Lepisosteus oculatus: one gene and its partners. The protein of the gene in region 3 purifies or fractionates together with the protein of the main gene of each other region. This does not show direct contact. Links are inferred from orthologs where the notes say so. Each region holds a gene or a part of one and is shown on either strand. Other genes may lie near its edges.

Region 1 (7,107 bases), on a different chromosome or scaffold from region 3:
TGAGAGACAGGCTCACTGTCTGTTACTCAGGCTGGGACAGGAGATCACACACTGTATTATTATTGAGAGACAGGCTCACTGTCTGTTCCTCAGGCTGGGACAGGAGATCACACACTGTATTATTATTACTGAGAGACAGGCTCACTGTCTGTTCTTCGGGCAGGGACAGGAGATCACACGCTGTATTATTATTATTGAGAGACAGGCTCACTGTCTGTTCCTCAGGCTGGGACAGGAGATCACACACTGTGTTATTATTATTGAGAGACAGGCTCACTGTCTGTTCCTCAGGCTGGGACAGGAGATCACACACTGTATTATTATTATTGAGAGACGGGCTCACTGTCTGTTCCTCAGGCTGGGACAGGAGATCACACACTGTATTATTATTACTGAGAGACAGGCTCACTGTCTGTTCCTCAGGCTGGGACAGGAGATCACACACTGTATTATTATTATTGAGAGACAGGCTCACTGTCTGTTCCTCAGGCTGGGACAGGAGATCACACACTGTATTATTATTACTGAGAGACGGGCTCACTGTCTGTTCCTCAGGCTGGGACAGGAGATCACACACTGTGTTATTATTATTGAGAGACAGGCTCACTGTCTGTTCCTCAGGCTGGGACAGGAGATCACACACTGTGTTATTATTATTGAGAGACAGGCTCACTGTCTGTTCCTCAGGCTGGGACAGGAGATCACACACTGTATTATTATTATTGAGAGACAGGCTCACTGTCTGTTCCTCAGGCTGGGACAGGAGATCACACACTGTATTATTATTATTGAGAGACAGGCTCACTGTCTGTTCCTCAGGCTGGGACAGGAGATCACACACTGTATTATTATTGAGAGACAGGCTCACTGTCTGTTCCTCAGGCTGGGACAGGAGATCACACACTGTATTATTATTACTGAGAGACGGGCTCACTGTCTGTTCCTCAGGCTGGGACAGGAGATCACACACTGTATTATTATTATTGAGAGACAGGCTCACTGTCTGTTCCTCAGGCTGGGACAGGAGATCACACACTGTATTATTATTATTGAGAGACAGGCTCACTGTCTGTTCCTCAGGCTGGGACAGGAGATCACACGACAGGCTCACTGTCTGTTCCTCAGGCTGGGACAGGAGATCACACACTGTATTATTATTATTGAGAGACGGGCTCACTGTCTGTTCCTCAGGCTGGGACAGGAGATCACACACTGTATTATTATTATTGAGAGACGGGCTCACTGTCTGTTCCTCAGGCTGGGACAGGAGATCACACACTGTATTATTATTGAGAGACAGGCTCACTGTCTGTTACTCAGGCTGGGACAGGAGATCACACACTGTATTATTATTGAGAGACAGGCTCACTGTCTGTTCCTCAGGCTGGGACAGGAGATCACACACTGTATTATTATTACTGAGAGACGGGCTCACTGTCTGTTCCTCAGGCTGGGACAGGAGATCACACACTGTATTATTATTATTGAGAGACAGGCTCACTGTCTGTTACTCAGGCTGGGACAGGAGATCACACACTGTATTATTATTGAGAGACAGGCTCACTGTCTGTTCCTCAGGCTGGGACAGGAGATCACACACTGTATTATTATTACTGAGAGACAGGCTCACTGTCTGTTCTTCGGGCAGGGACAGGAGATCACACGCTGTATTATTATTATTGAGAGACAGGCTCACTGTCTGTTCCTCAGGCTGGGACAGGAGATCACACACTGTGTTATTATTATTGAGAGACAGGCTCACTGTCTGTTCCTCAGGCTGGGACAGGAGATCACACACTGTATTATTATTATTGAGAGACGGGCTCACTGTCTGTTCCTCAGGCTGGGACAGGAGATCACACACTGTATTATTATTACTGAGAGACAGGCTCACTGTCTGTTCCTCAGGCTGGGACAGGAGATCACACACTGTATTATTATTATTGAGAGACAGGCTCACTGTCTGTTCCTCAGGCTGGGACAGGAGATCACACACTGTATTATTATTATTGAGAGACAGGCTCACTGTCTGTTCCTCGGGCAGGGACAGGAGATCACACGCTGTATTATTATTATTGAGAGACAGGCTCACTGTCTGTTCCTCAGGCTGGGACAGGAGATCACACACTGTATTATTATTATTATTGAGAGACAGGCTCACTGTTCCACAGGCTGGGACAGGAGATCACACACTGTATTATTATTATTGAGAGACAGGCTCACTGTCTGTTCCTCAGGCTGTGACAGGAAATCACACACTGTATTATTATTGTTAATATTAGAATTGAGGGACACTGTACAGTCAGGGGGCCATCTACAGTCTCTCGTGTGAGGAGTCTGTCTTGTCACAGATCCCAGCCTGCCCTCCAGGAGACACACACACACACACAGGGAGAGCAGCTGGGGGTCAGGCCCTGGCTCACGGGCCCAATGGAGTAGGATTCCTCTGCGGCCGCAGGATTCGAACCAGTAACCCCCAGCCACAGGCACAGATCTTGAGCTCCAGAGCCACCACACCATCCCGCCCCAATACAACGCCTTCCTTCGAGCAGTCAGTGGTACAATCTGGGGTACAGTCTGGGGTTCAGTCTGAGTTATAGTCTGTAATGAAGCAGTGCAGTCTGGGGTACAGTCTGGGGTACAGACTGGGGTACAGTCTGAGGTACAGTCAGGGGTACAGACTGAGGTTCAGTGTGGGGTACAGTCTGGAATACAGTCTGAGGTACAGTCAGGGGTACAGACTGGGGTACAGTCTGAGGTACAGTCAGGGGTACAGTCTGGGGTACAGTCTGGGGTACAGTGTGGGGTACAGACTGGGGTATAGTCAGGGGTACAGACTGGGGTACAGTTGGAGGTACAGTCAGGGGTACAGTCAGGTTGTGGAGTCTTCCCTGGGAGTGCAGGACACACTCTTCAGGACACACCTGGAGAAGACCCTGCAGCCGAAACGCTGTGTTTTCTCTCTTCTCTCCTCAGCAGGATTGTGGGAATGGGAAGGCAGAAGCCAGAAATGTATTTTGGTTCTGTCCTGTTTGCTCGTGGCTATGACTGTGATGAGGCAGCGGAGCACTTTGAGTGACACACTGCTCCAGCTGCGGTGTTCAAGGGAACGTTTCCGCAGGTCCTTCCTCCCGGCATATACCCATGCACATTTTGCACATCTTTTATTGTTTGACAGTGACTATGAGCATATTTTGCTTACTCTATTTATTTGATTTTGTATTGCTGTACTTGTTTTAATTTTCCGTCTAGTCCGATGTCTGTTCTTGCTCGTCTTGGGCTGGGCTGCTGTAACGCCTCAGTTTCCCTTCGGGATCAATAACTCATCTCGTCTAATCTCTCTATTGTAAAAACCTTCTGGACTGATTTGCAAACTTATATAAAAAAGAGGCGAATATTAATCATATTTAAGGAAACAGACGTGATGTTGAACTTCAATCCCATTGGAACTAAACGAAAATATATTTTGTAATTGACGATTATTATACCGGGACGTTATTCTACTCAGGAAGAGTCCTGTGTCTGAACATAGATGTGAGGGCGTATTTGTAGACTGTTTCGAAATGTGAAAACATGAAAGCGGTGCGGACCTTATCTCTATTTACTCTGTTTAAACGATGTTATCGATATGTTTTACGAACTCTTGTTTATACTGTATTTCCTTTTGTTGTTTAAATACAAAAAAGACTGTGGATCGGGGCTCAGACACGATGCTGTAAGATCTGTATCTTTTCCCAGATCGATGAGCACCAATGAGTCTTTTTTACTGGGGTTACTGGTAATCTCTCTTGAGCGGGCCGCGTCGTGCCTCGAGTCTGAGGCGAAAACGTCACTGTTATGATAAGAGCTAAATTTTGTGAGTTTGACATATGTTTGTAAAATATTTTAAAATATTTTATTTAAACACCAGAAATACAAAAAATGAGACAGAATAATGAAATATATACAGAAATAGACACTTCAAAGCCAGAGGAATCCACAGTTGTAAAAACTAAAAATTATACTTATTAGATATATCTTTTACAAAGGTCTGGCACGGCCGGATCGACATGACGTCAATAATCTGCGACTGTTCCCGTTCTTCTCAAAGGAAGGAGGTTACTTCCTCCCTCGGCGGCGCTGTTTATCTACGTCACTTCCTCTTGTTTGCGCATTGTGGCGCTGTAATAATTCACGTCGTGAGCACAGCTGTAAAATAAAGGTAAATAATATTACATATCAGTACTAATGATAAGCACAATCGTACGGAATTCTCATTGGGTCTGTCCTCATGTTTTTTTCTGTTTGGTGCTGTGAAAGTAACTCTGGATAGTAATACTGTTGGAGCTGTGTGATCATCTCCAGTAAATACTGGAGAGATTCAGAAATTAAAGAGACCTACTGTCACTTCAAAGTACACTTGTCTGTTGGGATTACATTCAGATTGTTATTCTGTGGTTAATCATGTTATTGAATCGTTAAATCAGTCAGTGCGTCTGTATTAACCCCTCTTTCTCTCCCAGTGCAGTGTTAATGTACTGGAGTGTCCAGTCAGTGTGTCTGTATGAACCCCTCTCTCTCTCAGTGCAGTGTTAATGTACTGGAGTGTCCAGTCAGTGTGTCTGTATGAACCCCTCTCTCTCAGTGCAGTGTTAATGTACTGGAGTGTCCAGTCAGTGTGTGTGTATTAACCCCTCTCTCTCAGTGCAGTGTTAATGTACTGGAGTGTCCAGTCAGTGTGTGTGTATTAACCCCTCTCTCTCTCAGTGCAGTGTTCATGTACTGGAGTGTCCAGTAAGTGTGTCTGTATTAACCCCTCTCTCTCTCAGTGCAGTGTTAATGTACTGGAGTGTCCAGTCAGTGTGTGTGTATGAACCCCTCTCTCTCTCAGTGCAGTGTTAATGTACTGGAGTGTCCAGTCAGTGTGTCTGTATTAACCCCTCTCTGCCTTATTCCTCTGTCTCCCTCAGGATGTCGAAGCGCAGGGTGATGTTTGAGGATGAGAATGGAGAGTACAGTCTGGAGAATGACCCTCCAAATAAGAAGGTTCAGTACTCTTTCTCAGCAGAAATACCATATGGTTAATACAGTCCTGAGTAGAGACCCTGTCTGGAGGGTATGAGACTGTATGTGAACACAGTACTGAGTGTGACAGTTTCTCGCTCTCTCTGCGGGTGTGTGTCTGTGTGTTTGTCTCTCTCTGCGGGTGTGTGACTGTGTGTCTCTCTCTCTCTGCGGGTGTGTGTCTGTGTGTCTCTCTCTCTCTGCGGGTGTGTGACTGTGTGTCTCTCTCTCTGCGCGGGTGTGTAACTGTGTGTCTCTCTCTTTCTGCGGGTGTGTGACAGTTTTTGTCTCTCTTTCTGCGGGTGTAACAGTGTGTGTGATTCTCTCTCTCCCTGCTGCAGGTGTGTGACAATGTCAGTGGCCCTGGCTCCAGGTTCAAGGGTAAACATTCCCTGGACAGTGATGAGGAGGAAGAGGAAGAGGGACAGAAGTATGACATGCTGGCCAGTGACGATGTGGAGGGTACTGTCTCACTCTGTCGTCGCCGTGTGAGTGCGGCTCACTCTGTCTGCTCTCTCACTCCCCCGCTGTCTCCCCTGTGCAGGCCAGGAATCGGCGACCCTGGACTTTGACGAGGGGGTGCGCATCACGCCCTTTAACCTGGAAGAGGAAATGCAGGAGGGACACTTTGATTCGGAGGGAAACTACTTCCTCAACAAGGAGCAGCAGATTCGAGACAACTGGCTGGACAACATCGACTGGGTGAGACTGGAGCTGGTCACACCACAGCCGGGCCAGACCGTAGCACTGGGTCACACCACAACCGGGCCAGGCCGTAGCACTGGGTCACACTGGAACCAGGCCAGACTATAGCACTGGGTCACACCACAACTGGGCCAGGCCGTAGCACTGGGTCACACCACAGCTGGGCCAGGCAGTAGCACTGGGTCACACTGGAACCAGGCCAGACTATAGCACTGGGTCACACTGGAACCAGGCCAGGCCGTAGCACTGGGTCACACCACAGCTGGGCCAGGCAGTAGCACTGGGTCACACTGGAACCAGGCCAGACTATAGCACTGGGTCACACCACAACCGGGCCAGGCCGTAGCACTGGGTCACACCACAGCTGGGCCAGGCAGTAGCACTGGGTCACACTGGAACCAGGCCAGACTATAGCACTGGGTCACACTGGAACCAGGCCAGGCCGTAGCACTGGGTCACACCACAGCTGGGCCAGGCCGTAGCACTGGGTCACACTGGAACCAGGCCAGACTATAGCACTGGGTCACACCACAACTGGGCCAGGCCGTAGCACTGGGTCACACCACAGCTGGGCCAGGCAGTAGCACTGGGTCACACTGGAACCAGGCCAGACTATAGCACTGGGTCACACTGGAACCAGGCCAGGCCGTAGCACTGGGTCACACCACAGCTGGGCCAGGCAGTAGCACTGGGTCACACTGGAACCAGGCCAGACTATAGCACTGGGTCACACCACAACCGGGCCAGGCCGTAGCACTGGGTCACACCACAGCTGGGCCAGGCAGTAGCACTGGGTCACACTGGAACCAGGCCAGACTATAGCACTGGGTCACACTGGAACCAGGCCAGGCCGTAGCACTGGGTCACACCACAGCTGGGCCAGGCCGTAGCACTGGGTCACACTGGAACCAGGCCAGACTATAGCACTGGGTCACACCACAACTGGGCCAGATCTTAAAACTGGATTATAGCAGGTCAGACTGTAGACCAGGTCACACTGGACCTGGGTGGTACTGGGGGGTGCGTCTTCTGGTGTGAGTGTGTGTCTTCTGCAGGTGAGAGGGGGCGGAGGGACGGGCTCGGTAGGTGTGGGTGTGAGGGGCGGGGTCTGTAGGTGTGGGCGTGAGGGGCGGGGTCTCGTGTGGGCGTGAGGGGCGGGGTCTCGTGTGGGTGTGAGGGGCGGGGTCTCGTGTGGGTGTGAGGGGCGGGGTCTCGTGTGGGCGTGATGGGCGGGGTCTCGTGTGGGCGTTCAGGGGCGGGGTCTTCTGCAGGTGAAGGAGTGGGCTTGTATTCCAATGAGGGTGAAACTCCTCTAGTACACCGTACGTACACGAGAGAGAATCTGGAATGGCGTCAATG
Region 2 (7,859 bases), on a different chromosome or scaffold from region 3:
ATTAGTTAATTCACTCGGAAGCCCCTGAGCCATTTTTGTTTCTTATTGCGAAAAGCAGAACCAGAGTTTGGATTGAGGCTGCCCTGCCAGCCATGTGGGTTACTTATGTGGCAAGGCAAATACACCCTTGATGACCTTTAAATAAAGCTCAACCTAGTAATGACAGACCTTGTGTGTTATCGCCTGGGCAATCAATCCCAGACCGGACTTCTAATTTATAAAGGCAAATGGGGGAAGATGAAAAAATTCACCAATGGGATTCGTTTCTGAATTTGTTTCAAGAAAAGGTAGACAATTTAAATGAATGTGCGACACAATATCAATCCTGGTTTTTGCTACAAACACTCTCTATTAAAATACGTTTAATAAACGTGACAACAGAACCAGAGGAATGCGGGTGTCTATTGCTAGCTAGGGACAAATGTCTTTTTTGCAACCTCCATGTTCCTAAATTGTTCCTGCTCTGAAGAGCGTCATTTCATTTTCAGACCATGTTCATCTGCTAGTGCACATAGTTGCAGACTTGAATACTGGCTAATAAAGTCAATTAAAACAGTGGGTGAACATTTTCTACATCATCTAGATGGGGCTACACATTGGTGGTGGTGGAGAGTCCCCATTACCTGTAAGCACTTTGGGTGGAGTGTCCAGAAAAGTGCTACATAAGTGCAAGGAATTGTTTTTATTAACAAAACGAGCATTAGTACCCAACCTAAAAACACCACCTCACAGATTCTACACTAGAGATTTCACTATTAAAGAAAACTATCACTTCATCGCATGACTGTTTAATAAACATACATAAGATAGTCAGGATAGTCAATTAAAATAGTGATTACACTTACTACAAATGGAGGGCACCAATAATTTTTGTGACCACAGAAAGACTGCACAATATACTATATACAATTACTATGTTACAGTCATCCTTTTTCACAGCACTAGATCTACACAGATCAGTCCCTCCAGAATATAGCAACTAATAAATGTCATCATACTCATTTGTGTGTGTATTTAGTGTAACTCCACAAGTACGTTAAGCAAAATACTAGAACACAACTGGATAATACAATTTGTGGCTTTGATATAATTACCAGACCAACTTAAAAAAGCCCCAAGTTCAAATTGTCCACAAGTTTCAGGAGGAACTAGTGTCTTGAGAATGTCTGTGCATGTCTTCAGCTTATACCATGAAATGTATAATCATACATTACGCCTATTTCAGAATATTGTCATTTTTGAGTCACGAAATCTGGGTGGCTCTTTTTAAAGTTAAGCGATTTCGAGATCACGTTCATTTCTTAAAATTAACCAACCATAAAGCAGGTTTTGCAGGATTTGGAAATACTGTTGTTACATGCTTTGTTGGTCTTGAACCAGAAACGTGCATTTACAAATGTATTCCTATCAATTTTTATTGAACGATTTACTTATTTACATTACAGTCTTACCATGATAAAAAAAAGAATTAACCAAACAGATAGTATATAAGGTCACTTCACGTGAAAGACGCGTGAAAAGAGCGCACTTTTCCTTAGTATTTTTCTAAACCTGCCCAACTGAATTACTAGAGGATTTTGGAAACTAAGATCGCTCCTTTTCAGTGGTCAGACTGAGGTTCGGGGTGCAAATTATTGCTTTATTAAAACCTTAATTTAACAGTTTCAATTGTTAAAAACCTAACACCTCACACTTTGTCAAAACACCAGCGGTGAGGAATAATCAAACTTTCAGATTTGCGCCTGGTGAAAGAACATTCCCAGATCGCCTTTGTCATCAATTCACAATCGAAATGATCTTTACTGAAACCCATTTAGTTCTGTTTTGCATAAATCGGTCCAGGTTTCTGCAAAGAAGAGCGGGGCCATTGATCTGCAGATACGAACTGAGGCAAGAAAACCGTCTGCAAGACACCTGGATAAGGTTTTGACGTTTTTTTTTCAAAATCGAAACCCATAGCTAAGGTTAGCAAGTGACGATCTAACTCCCGAAAAGTTTTTTTGGTTAGGTTCAGGCAATAGAAGTATCCCCAATCTGGAAGAACCGACCAGTTTGCGGCTTGATTCGCTTTACGGGCGTTAATAAACAATCGCTGGATTATTAAATAAATCGTTAAAAACCCGAGATGTTACTGATATGGCTTGATAATACAAGAAGCTCCGGGATGCTTTAAGCGTAAACACCAAATCCATGATTTTCGGAAGTTGTGATCATCTACGTTAAAACGGCCTACAGGACGGCAAAAACAAAACACGCTCTCTAGTACCAAAAAAAACGTGGAGAGGACCGAAGTGTAGGCCCCGATTTTTTTTTCTGCTTTTGAAAAAAAAAACACAGATCGCGTCGGCGTGCAAGACGTGAGCAATCATTTGCCCGAAACAAAAATAAAGGCTGAATCCAGCTGCAGGGCGCGAAGCCACTTTGTCGGATGGAGGCACGATGTGCTCTGTTGTTTGTTCAGCACAGCAACACGGTTACTAACACAGCAGCGAGAACAGACACCCGCTGGGTGGCGGATCAACTATCCGGCCTCAGTTTTCTAAGCAAGTTCTCGCCGTTGGAGCTCGTCCGTGTGGCAGATGGCCGTTCCCACGCTTTACGGAAGATCCCGATTTCCGAAAAGCGAATGCGTGTCGATTTCCCCTATCACACAAAGTCAAAGTTAGCTGTTTTCAACCGGGAACACTGAACTATCCCCCCCACCACGTTTCCCCATCTCGCACGCACTTACGAAACGCAAAACTAAGAAGCAACAACACGTCTGTGAACACCACTGCTTCACGTATACATAGAAAAAAAAACCTTTACCACCGTCACCATCCTACCAAAACCCCGGCATTTAGCATTTCGTCCTCTTTTAGCGTACAAAACTAGAATATTATGGTTATTTCTTACTCTAGCTCTTTGCCACTGTCCAAGCTCTTTCCGTCCACCTCCGTCTCCATGTCGGCCATTTTCACCAGCGAGTGCGGCGACTGCGTCTGCGCACTCCGCGCACCAGCTACAGCAAGGGAGCGTCGCGGTATTACCACCTCAACGTGAGTCACCCTCTAAAAGGGTGCATTTAACCTTCGCAGCTCGAGTAGGGACACCCCGTTTCACGAAGTCCTTCGCAATATGCCCACCATTCAAATACTAAGTTAAAGTTTTATAATTATATGGAAGTTAAAATAAAAAGAGCAGGGTGCCACTGTGTGACCCGAGGGGTCTGATCATCTTGAAAACTTGCAGGCGTCGGAAACGGGACTCCAAACTTATACAAACCGCAGCTGGACTTCAGCTGAAAAGTTGCCTTTTCGTGACCCAGTGTAGAGTCTTAAGAGGACAGGAGGGGTCCCTAGCTCTATAGTCTAAGATCGAGTTGCGTTAAAGATATATTAGCAATAATGTAACATTATTAGTACTGTAATAATACATACATATAATAATGTAGTTTTCGTCACTGTAAGTACGAACATGTTCTCAATTTACTCAACTGGTTAAAAGAATTGTAAAAAATATTTAGAATACACGTGGATATTTGTGGTTTAACTTAACCACAACGTAAACATAAGATGGGTTTATATAAACCTGAAGTATTCAGAAAACAACGGCATAATGAATTAATTGTTCTCACTGAGACACACCATAAAACACCTAAACCACACATTTTCTAACATTTCCAAAACAATCACAATACTCATCGTCGTCAATTCCTCTACGTGCCGTTCTAGTTATGAACATTTTTAAATGAGCCCTGAGGTTGAACCAGGAGCCCGCATAAAAACTACGGTACTTCCTGGAAGTAATCAAGAATAATAATAGTAATATGGACTTAAATTGGTGTGGAAGTGGGAGTGTAGGTCTCCCTTTATATCTCTGGAAGATATAAAATAAAAGTAAATAAGATTATTGAAACAAGCATGGCTGTGGAGCACTAGTGATTTTGGAGTCTGAACATAAGGTAAGGAAATATAAGTGGAAAAAACAAACGATGAAATAATATCTCAGATTTAGTTATGCCATAGGGTGAGAATGCCACGTGATCGCAACTAAATTAGTGTATTATGTTTAAAAAGTTTTAGATTTCGTACTGCCATTACAGCTAGAATAGTACTCCGTGAACACACGCAGATATATGTGCTTCCAAGACACTGCGGATCAGTTTACACACAGTTCTTGTACACAAAATGCTTTGCAGCACATTATCATTTATGTTAAAAAGGTGTACTTCGTGTGTTGAATAAAGAATTTACGGTTAGTGAAAATATGTTTTGAGTACTGTATGCACATCCTTTCAATTACTGTATCTTGTCACCTGCACGGCGACGAAAGAACGATCTAAAGTATCTCTTTGCATGGGGAAGAAAAAGTAGCATTCATAATAGATATTAGGAATTTGATCCATGTGATATTTTTGAAGTGAAGTTTTAAGAAAGTCTTAAAACCTATATTATTTTATATTATCGAGCCCAGGTTACCTAGAACAGCTATCATTTAAGGAAATGAGATTACTGTCTTTTAATGCTGTTACATATAACATTCTATAATACTTCAAATCGTTTAGCATGTCATAATGAAAAATCCCTTATGTTTATACGAAAAATAGTAAAACGGGGTGGGACACTGTTATTTTCTTTTGATACAGTTAAATGGCCCCTCAAAATCGGTGTAATCAGTCTGTCAATTTTGCTTTGCAAGTGCATCTTGGTCCATCCCAGGCATAGTATTCGGTGGATGTTTTCTCCTTTGTTTCAGTATAGTTTTAGAAAAAAAAACACTTTAGCATAATAATGTCCACTTAATTATGGTGGTAGTGCAGTTTAGATGATTACTTAGATATTTTTTTTAATTGATGAATTGGAAAAAGTGGTACTTGGCCTGTGGTCATATTTCATGTTGCTATCAGAGATATTTAATAATAATAATAATAATAATAATAATTGCTTATACTTATATAGCGCTTTTCTGGACACTCCACTCAAAGCGCTTTACAGGTAATGGGGGCACCCCTCCACCACCACCAATGTGCAGCATCCACCTGGATGATGCGACGGCAGCCATTGTGCGCCAGAACGCTCACCACACATCAGCTATTAGTGGGGAGGAGAGCAGAGTAATGTACCCAATTCACAGAGGAGGATTATTAAGAGGCCATGATTGGTAAGGGCCAATGGGAAATTTGGCCAGGATACCGGGGTTACACCCCTACTCTTTTCGAGAAACGCCCTGGGATTTTTAATGACCACAGAGAGTCAGGACCTCGGTTTTACGTCTCATCCGAAGGACGGCGCCTGTTTACAGTATAGTGTCCCTATCACTATCCTGGGGCATTAGGACCCACATGGACCGCAGGGTGAGCGCCACCTGCTGGCCTCACTAACACCTCTTCCAGCAGCAACCATAGTTTTTCCCAGGAGGTCTTTCCCAGGTACTGACCAGGCTCACACCCGCTTAGCTTCAGTGGGTTGCCAGTTGTGAGTTGCAGGATGATATGGCTGCTGGCCACCCTGTGATTTAAAAATATCTGAACAAGTTAAAGAAAATATGATTATGATTTTTCTATTTGCACACTGAAATGACGCATTACCATTCCAGTTTTTCGGTGTCTGTAATGTGCTGCTCATGTACTGATAGAGTTCCATAGGTGTGGTCACTTAACTGGTCCTCTTCACTTGCCTCAAGAGGTGAGTTTTGATTTAATCTGTACAAAGTTTGATGGGGAGGCCAAGGACAGGAGAAATGAAATTGGAGAAGCAGAACTATAAACACAATAGACCTGCTCAGTCGGGGCGGTGCGGTGGCTCTGTGGCTAAGGATCTGCGCCTGTGGCTGGAAGGTTGCCGGTTCGTATCCTGCGGCCGACAGAGGAATCCTACTCCGTTGGGCCCCTGAACAAGGCCCTTAACCCCAACTGCTCCAGGGGTTATAAATGGCTGACCCTGCGCTCTGACCCCAAGCTTCTCTCCCTGTCTGTGTGTCTCATGGAGAGCAAGTTGGGGTCTGTGAAAAGACAATTTCCTAATACAAGAAATTGTATATGGCCAATAAAGTGATCTTATCTTATCTCAGTAAAGTGGTATCTTTGAATAAATCTCCTTCCGAAACCATTTTGGTTTTCTCATTTATTTTTCATACCTTGAGACAATTTCTTCAGTGGTGCCGTTGCAAATGATGTATAAAAGTATGCCTTGACAATAGCAGAAGCTGTTGAGGTCGTGTCTCACGGACACTCAGCTCACTAGGTAGCTCACACAATAGGCAGTTAAGATTAAAGAGCATTAATTTGTCAATTCAATGTTATGAAAGCAAAAAGGAATATTAAGGCAAATGAGAAGACCTATGTAATGGAGTCAAGATTTTCTGTGGGGAGAGAGTATTCCAGTGTCCTTGAAGGAAATATATTTGAATGCCTTTTTTTGTGCACGCATGCAGTTGTCCTTCCCTGTTGCTGACTGAGGATGAGCCAGCTGAAGTATGCATACCAGGATATTCAGCCAGTGGCCCTGTGCATTCCTGAGGAGACCACCACTTCCAGGTTGTACTCCAGCACGGTAGAGGGGGTGGAAGGGCAGGTTTCCAGTCTGGTGGAGATGTTCCTCGTGGAGGTCTACCGGTGTCGAGTCTGCCAGTTCACCAGCAGCCTGAAGAGCAAGATCAGTTCCCATGTGATCGAGCGCCACGAGCTGGGCAGGACATGCCTCCCAATAAACTGCCTCGAGAAAGACGAAGGGGATCGGCCGGTGGAAGAGGAGGAGATGGGTCGGGGCTCCCCCTACTGTGTGGAGGATGAACTGCAGTCTGATAGCAAGGAGAGTGAAGACAACATGGATGTGAGCCTGGAGCGGATGTCCTTCCTGCTGCCCATGTATGGGATGTTGCACAATGTTAGCCCTCAGTCATGTGACATGGGTCTCAGTACCAACAGTGATGGCCTCCATGTGGCACACAACTGTGAGGTGAGTCCAAAGTCTGGGTAGAATATTCACCCATAGCAATAATACACACCTGGTGTCTAGCAGTTTGTTCATCTTCTGCCTAGATGACCTACAAGATCTTGTTATACCGCTGTAGCAGAAGTTTGTCTGTCCAGGTTTATTCAAATTAGTTGGACAAGTATGAAGTATTCAATACCTAGATCTGGCTTGTCTAGGTATTGAAGGCATTTGCTCACAAATTCTGAAATTAATCAAACTACTTTTCATTTTAATTAGATTTCAGCTTTTCTGTCTGTAGTTTAGCCAATCTAATCTTAGCTTTGACTCAGTGGTCAATACCGAAGCAAAAATGTAGAACTATATTTTTTTGTCTTCATTTTGGCTATGGAAAAGCCTTTCTGCCACAAGCACAGTGTATCACCAATCTCCAAGGTCATAGAGTACCCTCAGGAAAGCAATTAAAGTAGGAGAGAGTGATTTATTTTTTATCTTAGAAGTGACGCTTAGTGCGCTGCCAATTTCAGCCTTAATTACTGAAATGACGAAGAAACGCATAAGGATATAAAACATTACTCAAACTCAAAAAAGTTCTAGCTGAAGTTTGACAGAAGAATGAATCATAACATTGCAGCCAATATAAATTTTGCTTTCATTATTCAGGGTGAATGGGAGGAAACTCATCGCTATATATTATAGACAGAATGCCAAAAACTGCATTGTTCCTACCACTATTAGCAGTATAGGTGTTTCATGAGTAGATTTTACAGTGGGTGACCTCATACTGCATCTTATAGAGTAAGTTTTATTGTTTTTTTTAAAGAATTGACATTTTTTAAGGTGTGGCCCCAGAATTTCTACCCAGTACAAGCACTTTAGGAATACTTCCTGAGTTTCTGATGCCTGGTTATGCCCAAGGCATACACTTCACCAGCCTCTGATGAT
Region 3 (7,370 bases):
TTCTGCGTTACTGCTAAGTGTTCTCGTTTCCTTTTAACACTTCACACTCAGCAGGCCAGCAGGTGCAGAACAGCCCAGGCTGCACAGTAGCCAGTCAGACTCCCAACCCAAGCCTGAGCTACTCCAGGGTGAGTTTCTAGTTACATGAACTTTTACTGTAGCACGGAGTGCCTGTCGACGTCTCCATCAGGAACCGTCTCTGAACCCCTCCATGGCCACTGGGCTGCAGAAGCATATTAACTGCAGTACATGAAGTAACGTGTATTAATCAGAGTTGCCGTCCCTCCAAATGTTACTGCACTGTGGCCTAATTTAAATTTAAACCCAGAGCAGCCTTGCTGTGGCGACAATCCAGGATGAGTGAGTTGTGTTGCTTCCAGGGAGACCAGACTCGCCAAGACGTTTGGACCAGCAGGGGGCCGACAGTTCTGGCATTCTGGGTCACTAGTTAGTGTCAACAGAGCTACACTCTGTCTCTACAGATTCAAACTTTCAGCCTCAGAGGACACTCAGTCCAGGAGTTTCAAAATCAAGCCGTTAACTGCAGCTGCCCCAGAGACAGGCAGCTGCTTCTAAAGGCATCAGAGTGAAGTGCTGAGGCTGGAGCTGTTCAACCTTTAGCCCTATACTCTGCTCTGGCCTGGCAGGCAGGGGGGCCTGCAAGTCTGGGGTTTGAGCAACACTCTCCAGGCTTAACTCTAGAGGACCAGCAGGCAAGGTGTCTGTCATATTGTGCAGATGAACTTAAGATTCATGTGTCACTTTATTTTTAATTTTTTTTTAATTGCCATGTGCCGTTAATTTTTATTGTACCAAAAGCCTCGATATGATGTGTGTTACCAAGGTGTGGATTGTACCAGTTCTGGGGGCAATACAGAGCAGGAATCTGGATTCCCACTGCACAGTTCAGCAACTGCTGGCTCTTGTATGTAATCCAGCACACAAGAAACAGGACATTTAAAAGTACAAAGTACACTGCTCCGAGTGACTCTATGTGGGCAGGAATGAGCAGGCGACGTGTTCTTTGCTCCACCCGTGTGATCCGATAAGCACCTCGCAAGGCTCCAGCTGCTGTGCAGTGACAGTCCGGGTTCCAGCTCTGGGATCAGAACCAGTTCGGTGAACCGCAGTCCCGGCTCATCAGCCTGCCAGCAATCATCTACAGTATGTGCTCATATCTACTTGTACTGTTGTAACCAATCAGAAGGTAACTGATCAATAAATGGTACGAGAAAGCTGACCCGAGCCGTTTCCTGTGAGTTACTGAGCCCTGCATGAGAGCCTCTGAGCACACAGCTGTGAGGCCAAAAGACTGAGCTGCCTGACAAGAACAGGGTCACGACATGTTGATGGTTTTATTTGTACGATTAAAAAATAAAACACTGCATATAACCACAGTCTACACAGACACTGCTTCCACAGCCTTGTTGTTTTTTACCCTGAGCCTGGGCGAGGGAGACATTCTCTTGTTTCACTGCCATCTGGTGATATTAAACTTTTATCATTCTTTCACTGAAGCTTGTTAAAGTTTTTTGTTGTTTCAGAAAGAAAATTGTTGTTAAATGTCAGTTCCATTCAAATCCATAAAAACTGAGTGCTCCTAGAAAGGTATCGGCAATATTTTCCAGTGCATTTTAATCTCAGAACACTGGTGGCTGCATCCTGGCGCCCTCTAGAGGCCAGCGGTGGTACAGTCCTCCGCATGGAGTGCCCTGGAGCCAGGACCCAGCTCCCCACTGAGATGCCCCTTTCTCTCACTGTGCCACCCCCAGTTCTTTCACTTTACTCTGGTGGCTTTGTTAGCCAAGGTTCAGCTGTCAGTACACCAGCATCCAGCACCAAGAGACACTCCCAGAAAAAACAGTCCAGCTATGGAAGCATTAAAAACAGTTTGGCTACAAATGCCTTCCCCCCCTGCTGGAGCTGGTGATGGAACAGTCTGAAAGATGGTCTGTGTGTAGCCAGTCCACTTGCACCACAGCAGTGTCCCAGGAGCCCCTAGAACTGCAGATTTCCAAAGAGGGAGGGCAGGGTGTTGGGTTTGGGGTGTGGTTTGTACCCAATTCGCTCATTGATCATCTGCTCCCTGGTCTTGCCTTCGGCACCCCCAGCCGTAGCCCCGCCCATGTCCCCGGTGCTGGCCACGCCCACCACATCCACCTCCTCCCGCTGCTTCTTGCGGCTCTGTGGGCGAGGAGGGCAAACAGGCTCTGTCAATTCATTCAAATACAGTAGCGCCATCCGCCGCCTCCGCCCCAGGGAGCCTGCCAGAGCCTCGAGCTTCGCTGCAGCCCTGCGTGCTCGGCCTGCCCGGGCCGAGAGGCTGGGGTCTTGAATAATCAGGCACGTACAGTGACAGAACCACTCACAGGAAAACACATCTCGGAGGGCCTGTTCTTGCCCTTAACGTTATATCCCCACGTCCTCAGGTTCCGGGAGTGTTAGCACAGCAGGCTCCTCCAGCGGCTCTCCTACCTCTAGCTCCTTCTTCACGCTGTCGAACTCCTCGATGTCGTCCAGCTTCAGCTCGATGCGAGTGGGTTTCCTCCGCAGCATGGCGGCCGTGTGGCAGCTCCGGGGACTGGACCCCACCTCCGGCAGCACGGGAACCGGGTCCTGGACACAGGGGCGGCAGGGAGACTTCCACTTAGCAACTAGCAACACCGCGCAAGCCGGTACCACCAGTACCACTCGGGTCTCGCGGTTCGGCGAGAACTGAACTGACAGCTGCTGTAACGCTTGGACGGGTCCTCCGTCAAGGGGCAAAGCTCACAGAATAAAACTTTTTTCTCCCAAACTCTGGGAAACAGGAAACAGGAAGTTTTATCTACTGTCCATCTGTCACATCAGACAGGTTTTTCAGACTCCCATATATTTTATGATAAAAGAATGCAACACACTACTTTTTAGGTGGCACTTGCAGAATGTTTCCTCGACATGATTTTTTTATAATGCAACAGCTGAGGGCCATGCACGCCTTTCTCGTGTAGCTAATACACGTACAGATTGTCTGGTTGTCTGCTGTACTACTGTGTTCCTGAGGTGCGGAGCGGTGGATCTGCGCCTGTGGCTGGGAGGTTGCCGGTTCGTATCCAGCGGCCCGCAGAGGAATCCTACTTCATTGGGCCCCTGAGCAAGGCCCCTGGAGCAAGGCCCCAGCTGCTCCAGGGGCGCCGTATAAATGGCTGACCCTGCGCTCTGACCCCCAGCTTCTCTCCCTGTCTGTGTGTCTCATGGAGAGCAAGCTGTGGTATGCAAAAAGACAAATTCCTGATGCAAGAAATTGTATATGGCCAATAAAGTGATCTTATCTTATTACTTTAATGCACTTTATTGCTTTCAAAACTACTTTATTAATCCTTTAATAATTTCAGAATATATTATACCTAGGGTAGGATTTTAACAGTTATCAAACTGTGCTGTTCAGAACTCAGTAATTAGCCGGCCTATCCTGCATACTGCCTCGCTAACGTATAAACATCGGTGCCTATAAGGGGCAGCACTTGCATTAATCTTAGCCTCTAAATATAATAAAACCAAGTGTTCGTAACATTCATTAACTGAGATAATACTTTGCTACAGGTGGGAATATCTGACGAGGCAGCTCAAACCGAGGTACCTAGCTCTCGCACGGCGCTCTCCGCGGACCGACCAGCCTGCGCTCACTCGTCCCGGACGAACCGGCGTTGCTGCTGAAAACAAAATAAAGACAAAATGAGAAAGGCAGCCGGGCGTCGTCATTCGTGCGGTGAAGAGGCTGCCAGCGGCCCGGCTGCAGAAGCAGGTCTGGAGGACAACAGCAACAGTCAACCAAGTTTCGAAACTTCAAATTACAAGTGTTCCTTCACAGGCCGCCAGGCACGGAATAAACACATTTACAGGAATTGGGACTTCTTCTTATTGCAAACATACAGTAAATAATGGACGTAAAGTAGTCCTAAACCCCACATACCTCCTATATTGTATATAGACCCCGCTGAAATGAACGGTGAACCACAAAAGGAAGCGCACCCCCTGTAGATGGGATTTGTAGTCTAATGAGACTTAATCCAGATTGCTTCCTTTGTACAATGAACTACATCTCCCAGATAGGACTACAGTGAGCCCCTTGTTTCATGAGTTAGCGGTTCATATTGGGGCACATGATGTGTCAGAACAATGCACCATCTCAAGTGATAGATATATCTTCTGTAATATATGTGAGACTAACCGATGGGTGAATTTTACATTTAGTTGGAAAAATATGTTTTGAAATACATTCCTTAAGTCTATTAGGCCTCCCGGCCGACAGAACGCGCTGTCCGTCCGGAATGGGTTGCTACTACAACCAGTGACGCAATTTCCGGCTCCGGTATCGGTTTGTCCGCCTGCCACTGGAGAGCGCTCGTGCAATACTCGCTTCCTCTCGCCAGCATCGCGGTGGTTTCGTCTAGGAGTTCAGGTATTTGTAACTTCAATACATTTTCATAATAGAAGCGATTAATTGGCAGTTTCCGCAGTGTGTGTGGGGTCCACGGTTCCTGGAGCAGAGCTGGGGTCAGGTCTGCAGGGTTGCACACGTGTTTAAGTCCTCAGATCTGCTGCTCCGTCTCAGCGCTGATATCTGTCGCACTGCTGTTCGGAAACACCGCTCCTGGACACAGTAATGATGTGACTTTTCTTCAAGTAGCTTCTCCTCTCTTCGTGATATCCTCAGAGTTGCGTAGAAATATTTGAATTCGTCCTGTTTCCTCGTTGCGCTGCCTGTTTGTGATTCTATGGGAAAGTAGACTTACTTTTATTACATTTCTTAAGGAATTCAACGTTTAATTTGGCTGAACGTGAAAACTAATGCGATCGGTCTTGATGTCTCTGGGCCGACAGTTATTAACCTTTGCTGCCTTGTTTGCAGTCTGGCTCCCACTGCCGTTTAACATAGTTAACTATAAGACTTTCTGATTTCTTAGAAACTTGATTTAAATCCAAGCAGTTATGTTTTACACGCACTTAAAAAATACATTAACAGTACAAATCAACTATACTCAAAATAAACAACGTTATATTAAACGCATCGACTCATGCTGTGCATAGTCCTTACACACCCTTGCTACAGGACCTGTGGACCTGTGAGTTTACGCGGCCACTGTCACCCTAAACACCTATAACAGCACAAAACCCGTTCATTTTGCTGCTTTACATCCTCTCATTTGTTAATAGTGGACAGAAAATGTGATGTGATGTTACAGGTCAGTATTTTGTCCTGATAAGTCTCATGTGAAAGGTATTTCATGACTCTTGGGTCGACAGCGATGTTACAGGTGACCACAGACCTGCTGACTCCCAGTGCCCTGTTCTCAGTGTTCACACAGAGGACACCTCCGGCCTGGGGACCCTTCTCGCCTGTCCTGGGTGAAAGTGTGTTTGTGCGTCTGTGTGTTTGTGTAGCTGTGATCCGGACCCCGCTGTGTGCCGTGCGGAGGGTGCTGTCCAGGAGTTTGGGGAGACGTGCTCTCGACTCTCTTCCTTCTCCCTGTGTCCAGTAAGCGGTCCAGTGGCTCGAGCACGATGTCGGACGAGGAGGACGTGCCCGCGGTGAAGAAGTCGCGCATCTTCTATGGCAGCCTGGAGGAGCGCGAGCGCGAGCGCCTGGGCCGGGGCGATGCGCGCGGCGCCAGCAGGGAGGCCCTGAAGGCCGGCATCGAGGCCGGCAACATCAACATCTGCAGCGGTCAGTGCGCAGTTCAGGCCTACAGCACACAGCACAGCCCCCACTGGGCCGGGGCCTGTAGCTACCGCGTGTCACTGACGCTGTCGGCTGTCTGTGCCAGCGCCCCGAGCGGGGCCCCGCCTGTGTGCCAGCGCCCCGAGCGGGGCCCCGCCTGTGTGCCCGGCGCTGAACGGTGCCCTGTCTGTGTTCAGGCGAGTCTATGGAGCTGGAGGAGCGGGTGAATGAACGTCAGGCAGAAGTCCTGGCAGAGTTTGAGCGCAGGAAGCGTGCTCGGCAGATCAACGTCTCCACTGATGACGCGGAGGTGAAGGCCTGCCTGCGCGCCCTGGGGGAGCCCATCACGCTGTTCGGGGAGGGGCCCGCCGAGCGCCGGGAGAGGTGGGTGCAGCAGGGCAGAGGTCAGCCGAGGGGGGCGCAGTGACGGTGGTGCCAGTCTGCGGGGAGCGTAGCCCCAGAGATCACGGCTGAGCTGAAGCCTCCTCTCTCCTCCAGGCTGCGGAACATCCTGTCGGTGGTGGGAACTGACGCTCTGAAGAAGTCCAAGAAGGAGGACGACAAATCCAAGCGGTCGCAGGACGAGGTACAGGAGCAGCTGGGCAGGACAGGATTCTTTTATTCTTTTCACTCTCTGCTCTTTAGTCTGAATAACCTCCCTCTCTGTCTCTCATGTTCTCAGTTCCAGCAGACCTGGTACCATGAGGGCCCAGGCAGTCTGAAGGAGGCCCGTCTGTGGTTGGCCCGATACTCCCTACCCAGGTGAGAAACTAGGGTGTTTACACTCCTCAGTGGCATCTAATCCTGCTTCTAGATGCACTGCAGCATGAGAGAGTAGCAGGTTGTGTTATACTTAACCTGCACACTAAATACTTTTCATCTAGAAAACTCTTGTTTTATATCTTCTCGTGAGAACTGTTGTGCGCATTGTTGCAGGATGTGCTGATTGTACATGTAGTGCAGCCTGTCTGGGTGTCTCAGGTTGGGCTGGCTGCTGTTAATATAACACTGCTGATTGCTGTCGGAGGCTTTGATTGGAAGCGCACTGGAAGCTCAGCTGTGGAGACATAAAAGAATTCATATCGCCCCCGACCGTGTAGCCCCTCTCTGTCTCGGAGTAGCAGCACCGTCAGCCTCTGGAACTGCATGGCTGCAGTCCAGCATCTTTTATCAGCCTGTTGAAGTGATTCCTGACTGTCTCAGTTTGTCAGTGGCAGTGATTGAGGGGCAGTGGTCTGTCCGGCAGGAGTACTTTGTATTGTACAGCCCCTGACCAGTTAGCGGTGGTCCTGTGGTCGCAGTGTCATGGCTGGCGAGTCTCTGGCGTGGCTGGTGGCAGGGTCACCCCGCTGTGTGCTCTGTGTTCCCAGGACAATGCAGCGGCTGGAGGCAGCACGGGACCAGAAGGAGATCCCAGAATCCACCCGGACCGCGCGGCAGCAGGAGCTCCACAAGTCACTGCGGGTGGGTGGGGCCTGGAAGCCAGGCGGGAGCTGAGGGTGGCAGGTTCACGTTTTTTGGAGGATGTAGCTTTGCGATTCTGGTTTGTGATTTTGTGTTGGGGGAGGGGGGGGTACAAAAGATTTTTTTGAGTTTCCTGATTTTGTTTGATTTTCCTTTAGTAAAGATTTAATACTTGAACAATCAAACTCAAAAACTCGATTTGTTG
Region 4 (7,452 bases), on a different chromosome or scaffold from region 3:
TGGAGCTGGGGGCCACAGTCTGGAGAGGAGCTGGAATAGTGGAGCTGGGGGTCTCAGCTCTGGAGTGGAGCTGGGGGTCACAGTCTGGAGAGGAGCTGGAATACTGGGGCAGGGGGTCTCAGCTCTGGAGTAGAGCTGGAATAGTGGAGCTGGGGGTCTCAGCTCTGGAGTGGAGCTGGAATACTGGGGCTGGGGGTCACAGTCTGGAGACTGTAATATACACTGTGCTCTGAAATACTTTTCCAGCATCTCTTCTGTGGTGCAGCCATGGTAATCCAGCCTTTGTGAAAACACTTCTCTCTCTATAAAACAGCACCATTCCTAGATACAGTACCTGACTAGCAGACGTAAGGACAAAGGCTCCCTGCTGTACTCACCAAAGGCATTCTTCGATTCAGACAGCCGCTCTTCATCAGTGGAGTCGATCACGTATATCACCCCATGGGATTCAGCGTAATACTGCACCAGGAGGGAAACAGATCTGAATCAACCCTGAGCAGAGTCTGCATGAACACCTTTCTCCCCCTTTCCCTTTCTTGCAATATGTCTCAGTGTTGAACAGGGATTAATTTTTGCCTCAGTACACAGTGGGAAAAGACTGCAAGACGCGTCAGTAAGGCCACATCTGGCACATGGTGTACAAGTTTGTGTTCCACATTACCAAAAGACATTGCTTCTAGGGAGTTTTCCCAGGAAAGAGTAACCAGGTTAGTTCCTGGTTTTAAAGTAATGTTACACTGGTCTTGAAAAAATGAAATTATGAGGACACTTGATTCATGCATTTAAAATCTTTCAGGTTATTAACTCAAATAATCAAGTTGGAAAAGTGGATACTGAAAGGATGTCCATTCAGTACAAAGTATGGAAGTATTTTTTTCAACAAGTTACCCATTACTGTTGTTATAATGAAGCATCAAATGGTTCCATATGTTCTTATATATAGGTCCTATGACAGCTTCCTTTTGGTAGCAAGGCTCTGGGAGGTGTGCAAAATAAATGACGGTTGTAATTGGGCTCAGGAATTATATATAACACACCCTAATAAAACAAAAACTAAAAAAGTTTTAAATAACATTTAATACCACTGATAACCCTTCAGTGACCTCTAGTGGTCTTAATGGTCACTGCAGGTGTCTCCATGGGATAGCCTACCACAATTGTGAACAGCAGTGCTTCATGCCTCACATTGCAAAGCAACTGATAAATATTTAGGAAGAAGATTCTGTGAATCACAATATGAGCTATTCAGTTGCAGATTTTAGCTATACTATATATTATAGCCAGGGCCGCATGGCAGTGCAGTGGTTGGCATTGCTGTCTCATAACGCTGGTGCCCTGGGTTTTAATTCCGGGCCTGGGGTGCTGTCTGTGTGGGGGTTGTATGGTCTCCTGTGTTTGCGTGGGTTTCCTCTGGGTGCTTCCATCTCCTCCCACAGCTCAAAGAGATGCTGGTAGGTAAACTGGCCCCAGTGTGAGTGTGTGTCTCTACGTGCCCTGTGATGGACTGGCATCCCATTCAGGACGTATCTCGCCCATGGCCCCCCAGCAACCCTGAATTGGATGAGGCAGTTAGACCAGTTCAGGCAACCCCACTGCCTTGCCTTACTTTGTCCCACAGTGACTGCAGCTCGTCTTGACCTCCCAGGTCCCAGAACATGAGGCGCGCCTTGCCCACATCTATTGTGCCAACTGATCAGGAAAAGGGAAGGACACACAGATCAGTCTGATTTTAAAACATTGGCTGTACTGTCTAGATATATAAATATACTGTACAATGTATTTCATACAAAGAGGATCAAAACTTACTGTTCAAGCCCACAGTGGTGGTGATCTTGGACAAACTCATGCCCTTATAATTCTTGCTGAATTTAGTCTTGGTCTGCTCCAGAAATGTCTATAGCAATAAATGGAAACGGATGAAATCACTCAGTTGGCAAAATCTCACTGTCTAATAATACACACACACATATATATATAATGCATTTGCAAGTGTACAATAAGAGAATCACATGCAGGATTTTATATTGCCCATAAATCATACTGTCCATAGGTCTAAAAGGCATTCACTAAATTCACTAAAACAACTTACAGTTTTCCCTGCATTGTCTAAGCCGAGGATCAGAATGCAATATTCATCCTTCTGGAACATGTATTTGTACAGACCCGATAATAAGGTGTACATCCTGGAAAACAACAACCAAAAAAAACAAAACAAAGATCATTTAAAATGCCCATTTGGACTTTAAAAATACACATTAACAGATGCTTGATATTTGAGCAAGATCATACGCATTGCTTGATACTTTAAATCAATGCAGAGTAAAGATGTAGAGAAACGAGCCAGTTAATACATAGACAGGTAGGTGTAGATAGATCCACAAGGTAGGTGAAGAAGTCCTTTTTGGATAAGAAATCATGTGCGAGATAGGATTTATTGTAGTGAGAAATTTACCTTTTTTCCCCCAAAAAGCACAAAACCAAGTTTGCTAGCTAGCAGAAAGTAACTTGGTAAGTGTGGCTAATGACAGCCTTCTTACACAGAGCACAAACAGGATGGGAGACATGTGTTGAACTAGTCTTTCCAAACAATCAAGTCATAATATGGTATTCTTTGAAGAAAGTTCAGGTGGGCAGCTGCATCAGCATGCGTAGGCTGCAAAGGAACAAGTAAAAAGTTTATTCCATGCTGAAAAGAGAAGAAAGAAAACACAACAAATGAAGAAATGAAGAAATGGTGACATGGACTCACAGTGGTTACCACTGCAGCCTCAAAGCGCTGGGGTCTAATTTATAACAATGATCTAGATTCCGGCACAGTTAGTACCAAAGTCTGAAGATTATTTCAAAATAGGAGGATTACCAAACCAAATTGAAGATGAAAACACAAAACAGGAAGATTCTGATAAAATGCTCAACTCGGAAACATCCTGTCCTATGATGTTTAATCTAGACAAGTGCATATTATTACATGCCGAAAGTAAAAATGCAGTATAGATACAAAGTGAGGAACAACGGACTTGAAAAAGCTAAAGAGAAAGTGTTTGTTGACATTTGTATCTCCAGTTACAGTGGGCAAGCAATAAAAAGGTCAACAGAATATGAGGGGGAAATTATTAAAATTTCAGGATTTAAATCGAGGGATGATATGTCAAAACTATGCAATGCACAAGTAAGACCTCACTTAGAACACTGCATGATGGTCACCATGTGACTAGAAGTCTAGTGCGCTTCTGAAAATGTTCTAGAAAAAAGAGCAACCAGGTTCATTCACATTAAAAGGATGCCCTACATTTTCGGGACAAAGTGCTGAACCTTTTTAGTCTCAAAGGCAGATGACAATGAGGGGGACCTGATTTCAGCCTTCAAAATCCTCAAAGACATTGGCAGTGTCAGCCCAGTGTATTTCTTCACAATAAACAGAGAAAGACAACCCAGAAGTTACAAGAGGAAACTAGATTGGAGAACTTTTAAAACTGAGAACAGGATACACTTTATGGAAGGGCCATTATATGTATTATTTTATAGAGTTGATAATGTTATTATTATTATAACTATTACGTTATAACTATAATAAATATTATAATGTATACTCCGGCCTCATCAGGGAACGACTGGATGAGAACCCAGGATCAATAGCTTCTAGTTACCAAACGGGCGAAATGAGAAGAATCGTGACGTTAGTTCCGTGCTTCTGATTATATCTCGGCTAATGTTTACCTTTGTGTCTGGGATCGCCCGCACTTTACTTGCTGTTTAAGGTCTTAATAATCCAGCTGAGATGGAATTGAGATGATAGATTTCACTTTATAAAACCGTACAAAGGCGAATAGCTTACACACTCTCAGGTTAATATAATTGTAAATGCTAGTTCTTTTGTATTGGGGTGGATGTATTTAAAAGTGCGCTGTTAGAGATGACTGGTATTCCATCTAATTTTACTTAGGACTAAAATCCTTGTATACAGTACTGTCAAAATAATGAGCTCAATTACATTATAAAACAAACAAAACCAACTGGTTTGCAGCAGTACAAACCACAGGCTATAACTATTAACTCTGAATCAACATCCCTGTAAAATAATAATTTCTCTAATCCGTCGCTCTTTTCCTTTTTTGTTACCATCCTTAGATGTTAAAATAACCATACATGCATTTGAAAACTGCTCTTATAACACATTTCCTTGAACTTACCTTTCATTTGCGACCAAGTCATCATCCGTAAATAGGAAGTGCTTACCGACTGGCAATGCACTGTAGGAATTGATGTTTTTTGTTGGTTTCACCCCCATGGCTGCTGAACGGATGTCCTGAGCTTGAAAACTACAAATCCCAGGATACCATTGGAAAGGAAAAGGCCGGCGTGTAGTTTGCAGTGGTTACTGGGAATTTACGTTTTCACTGGTGCTTCTAAAACTGTAGATGTGGTCCAAATACACTACAATACCCACAATTCACAAATATACTCTAATAACTTCCTCTCAAAAATGGAAGGATATCAAATTGTCATTTAAATGGTGACTGCAATATCAGAACCGGTAAATGTAAGGTTACATTGCTTTTCTTATACTACATACCTATCAGTAATGCAGGATTTCTGTATGGAAGATTGTTAGCAACAGTTAGCAACTGAGCAACAATTTTTTTTATTTTTGTATTCCAGTTTATATATTTTGCGATTATACATCCTGATCAGTAGTTACCGTAAATATATTTAAAGGCATCAAACGCAAGAGATAAACATAGTTTTGGTATAAGTAACAAATCTGTGTTTTTAAGGCTCTCTTTGTATGTATCATTTAGTTCTTCGTGAATAAACGATTAAAAGTAAACAGTATTTTAAGAAATAATTTCTGGTTTAATATTTGTCTCCGTTACATGTTATAGATGTTATAAATGTTATTTTTCGTATGTGTAATTAAATTACTAAAGATATTGCTTTACAATTACACATTTTTGAACGGCGCCTTAATTAAAACTAGCAAAATACTTTTAAAATCAAAGCAATTGCTTTAAAGTAGCAATAAATAGCACTTATTGCATGGATTGCTTATCTCAGTGTTAAAGCATTTTCAGAGACAAATACGCTAGTTTTAGTACCCAATTTTTTACCTAGTTTAAACAGAGGTTCATACGGACGTCTGTGAAATGTTGACATCAGAAACCTGCAACTTAAGATGTGAAATCGATCGTTTCGTCTCTGGGATGCGTGACAGGTCTCATCTCCGTGTTAATTTATTCGGAAAATTTTATTGCTTTATTCTTGCGCTGAAGGCTAAATTGTCGGATTTCTCATTCTTCCAGCTTGCATCCCGGAGTAGATTGCCCAAGGGATTTGGAAATATCAGCTTCGGGAAAGCTTGGTCAGTTTGAGACAAAGGAGAAGAAGCAATCTCATAAAGGTATTTATGGGAGAGGCAGCAAGTGATTGGATTTCCTCTACTTTGAACATACTGACTCAAGCTTTTCCGCATGACTGTATTAAGACGAATGCTCGCCTGCTGTGTGCAGGGTGCCTCAAAGTGCAGGGATAATCACGGTTTTCCGTAGTTTGAACAGGAGAAACAGTTGGAGGAGGGAGAAACACATCTCCAGGTTAAAGCGTTTGACCTCTCCTCTTCCTCGCCAGACCGATTCCTGAATGCCGGCCTGTCCCCCCGGTCGTGATGGACGAAGGTAGCTTGGAGGCGGCCATCGAGACTTACCATGCCCAGCTCCAGCAGGTGGAGACGGCCCTGGGCGCCGGGCTGGAGCCCTCCCAGCAGTCCGACCTCCTGCAGCTGAAGGAGGACCTGCTCCAGCTGATCGAGCTCACCGAGGCCAGCCTGGTGTCCGTGAAGAAGAGCCGGCTGCTGGCCAGCCTGGAGGGCTCGTCGGCCTGGCCGGCGGAGCCCCCCGCGGGGCAGCCGCCGGCGGGGGACCCCGGCATGCGGGACGAGTTCGCTGCGTTTTACGCGGCGGTGAGCGAGCCGTCCTGCGCCGAGCCTTCCACCAGCGAGAGCGCCCCTGCGGCCCAGAGATCTGGAGGAGGATCCGGCAGCCCCGGATCTCAGCAGGCAGCTGAGGAAGAGGAAGAGGAGGAGGAGGAGGAGGATGTGATGAGTGGCATGAAGGTCTGTGCCCCTTACCGCACCTCCTGGGGAACGCTGGAGTACCACAACGCCATGGTGGTGGGCACAGAGGACTCGGAAGATGATGACCCGCAGGTCCGGGTTCTGTATGTCCACCCGACCCAGAAGTCCATGAAGCCCTGCCCCTTCTTCCTGGAGGACAAGTGTCGCTTCATGGACAGCTGCAGGTGAGGAGCTGCAGATTGCCACTGGGAAACTGCATCTGTTCCCCTCTGGATGGGTTCAGAGGCAGACTCGCACAACCATTGTACCCCTGAAGCTGAAAATATGATGGAATGCATTGCAGTTGTTTTAGCTCTTGCATACCTTTCTGTGATTTATTCCAAAGAATTCAAATTAAAAAATACACAGCACCTCCTTCTTTATAACACACTGGATTCTTTATAGCTTCTTGGCTGCTATGTAACACAGACAAAAAGAAACATATCCTAAAATAATGAAGCATGTTCACTCGGAGATAAGATCGCTTTATTGGCCATATACAATTTCTTGCACTAGGAATTTGTCTTTTCACATACCCCAACTTGCTCTCCATGAGACCCACAGACAGGGAGAGAAGCTTGGGGTTAGAGCGCAGGGTCAGCCACTTATACGGCACCCCTGGAGCCGTTGGGGTTAAGGGCCTTGCTCAGGGGCCCAACGGAATAGGGTTCCTCTGCCGGCCGCGGGATTTGAACCGGCAACCACTGACGTGGATTGAAGTTGGGGTTAAAGCTGCACGCTGACCCCTGTGATTGCCGTGCCTTTAGACAGAACCGTTGTTTATAAATGGAGCAAAGCCGTTGTGATTCGGCTGCTCTGAGCCGGCGCTCCGGATCGAATCGGAATTGGAGTGCCCGCGATACCGAGCATTCCCGTCCGTTCCCACACTGTCGTGAATCTCTCCCCGAGTTCGTCCTTTTCGCCTCCTTCAGGTTCTCCCACGGAGAAGTGGTGTTGGTGTCCGAGCTGCGGCCTTTCCAGGAATCGGACCTCAGCTCACTCCAGGAGGGCTCAGCCTGTTTAGCCAGGCATGAGGATGGCATCTGGTACCCGGCCAAAATTACAGGTTTGTGGTGATCGCTCATAGGCCCTGAACGCACGTGAGGTACTCATGAAGTCGTCCGCACAGTGGACTGGCCAGCTTGCACTCATCATTGTTTGTCCAGCCATTCTGAAACATACATTCAGGTAACAATTTCAAAAAATGAGACAACACAGCAATATTGAGCAGTGTTGGCATCTAACAGCAGCATGCAACGGCCTAATCTCACCAAAGCCTTCTTTGAAGGGCTCTCAGGGTTTGGTGGATTGTCCACAAATCTAAGTCTTTTCCCCGTGTGGCC

What was found.
Region 1: the proteins of prpf4 (region 3) and cd2bp2 purify together in Homo sapiens (affinity purification with mass spectrometry; 3 studies listed by BioGRID and IntAct, with this or other methods). This does not show direct contact. The link is inferred for Lepisosteus oculatus from reciprocal best matches to the Homo sapiens genes PRPF4 and CD2BP2.
Region 2: the proteins of prpf4 (region 3) and serine/threonine-protein kinase PRP4 homolog purify together in Homo sapiens (affinity purification with mass spectrometry; 3 studies listed by BioGRID and IntAct, with this or other methods). This does not show direct contact. The link is inferred for Lepisosteus oculatus from reciprocal best matches to the Homo sapiens genes PRPF4 and PRP4K.
Region 4: the proteins of prpf4 (region 3) and zgpat purify together in Homo sapiens (affinity purification with mass spectrometry; 4 studies listed by BioGRID and IntAct, counting the BioPlex papers as one, with this or other methods). This does not show direct contact. The link is inferred for Lepisosteus oculatus from reciprocal best matches to the Homo sapiens genes PRPF4 and ZGPAT.

The regions. Positions count from the first base shown.
Region 1 is NC_090699.1:1,139,917-1,147,023, reverse strand, and holds the start of cd2bp2 (CD2 antigen cytoplasmic tail-binding protein 2), read left to right. Parts: upstream 1-4,092; 5' UTR 4,093-4,201; intron 4,202-4,949; 5' UTR 4,950-4,950; coding exon 4,951-5,025; intron 5,026-5,384; coding exon 5,385-5,505; intron 5,506-5,587; coding exon 5,588-5,745; intron 5,746-7,107. UniProt on the Homo sapiens protein: Involved in pre-mRNA splicing as component of the U5 snRNP complex that is involved in spliceosome assembly.
Region 2 is NC_090701.1:15,686,116-15,693,974, reverse strand, and holds the start of serine/threonine-protein kinase PRP4 homolog, read right to left. Parts: upstream 3,006-7,859; 5' UTR 2,955-3,005; coding exon 2,896-2,954; intron 1-2,895. Other genes in the region: oocyte zinc finger protein XlCOF6, read left to right, coding at 6,441-6,938. UniProt on the Homo sapiens protein: Serine/threonine kinase involved in spliceosomal assembly as well as mitosis and signaling regulation. Connects chromatin mediated regulation of transcription and pre-mRNA splicing.
Region 3 is NC_090719.1:267,758-275,127, forward strand, and holds the start of prpf4 (U4/U6 small nuclear ribonucleoprotein Prp4), read left to right. Parts: upstream 1-4,357; 5' UTR 4,358-4,441; intron 4,442-4,498; exon of another isoform or gene 4,499-4,642; intron 4,643-5,424; exon of another isoform or gene 5,425-5,519; 5' UTR 5,520-5,544; coding exon 5,545-5,707; intron 5,708-5,898; coding exon 5,899-6,085; intron 6,086-6,199; coding exon 6,200-6,287; intron 6,288-6,383; coding exon 6,384-6,463; intron 6,464-7,071; coding exon 7,072-7,165; intron 7,166-7,370. Other genes in the region: anaphase-promoting complex subunit CDC26, read right to left, coding at 1,999-2,184, 2,476-2,556. UniProt on the Homo sapiens protein: Plays a role in pre-mRNA splicing as component of the U4/U6-U5 tri-snRNP complex that is involved in spliceosome assembly, and as component of the precatalytic spliceosome (spliceosome B complex).
Region 4 is NC_090711.1:13,476,168-13,483,619, forward strand, and holds the start of zgpat (zinc finger CCCH-type with G patch domain-containing protein), read left to right. Parts: upstream 1-4,432; 5' UTR 4,433-4,540; intron 4,541-5,300; exon of another isoform or gene 5,301-5,398; intron 5,399-5,625; 5' UTR 5,626-5,662; coding exon 5,663-6,294; intron 6,295-7,041; coding exon 7,042-7,175; intron 7,176-7,452. Other genes in the region: arfrp1 (ADP-ribosylation factor-related protein 1), read right to left, coding at 378-459, 1,607-1,689, 1,807-1,894, 2,090-2,183, 4,191-4,288. UniProt on the Homo sapiens protein: Transcription repressor that specifically binds the 5'-GGAG[GA]A[GA]A-3' consensus sequence. Represses transcription by recruiting the chromatin multiprotein complex NuRD to target promoters.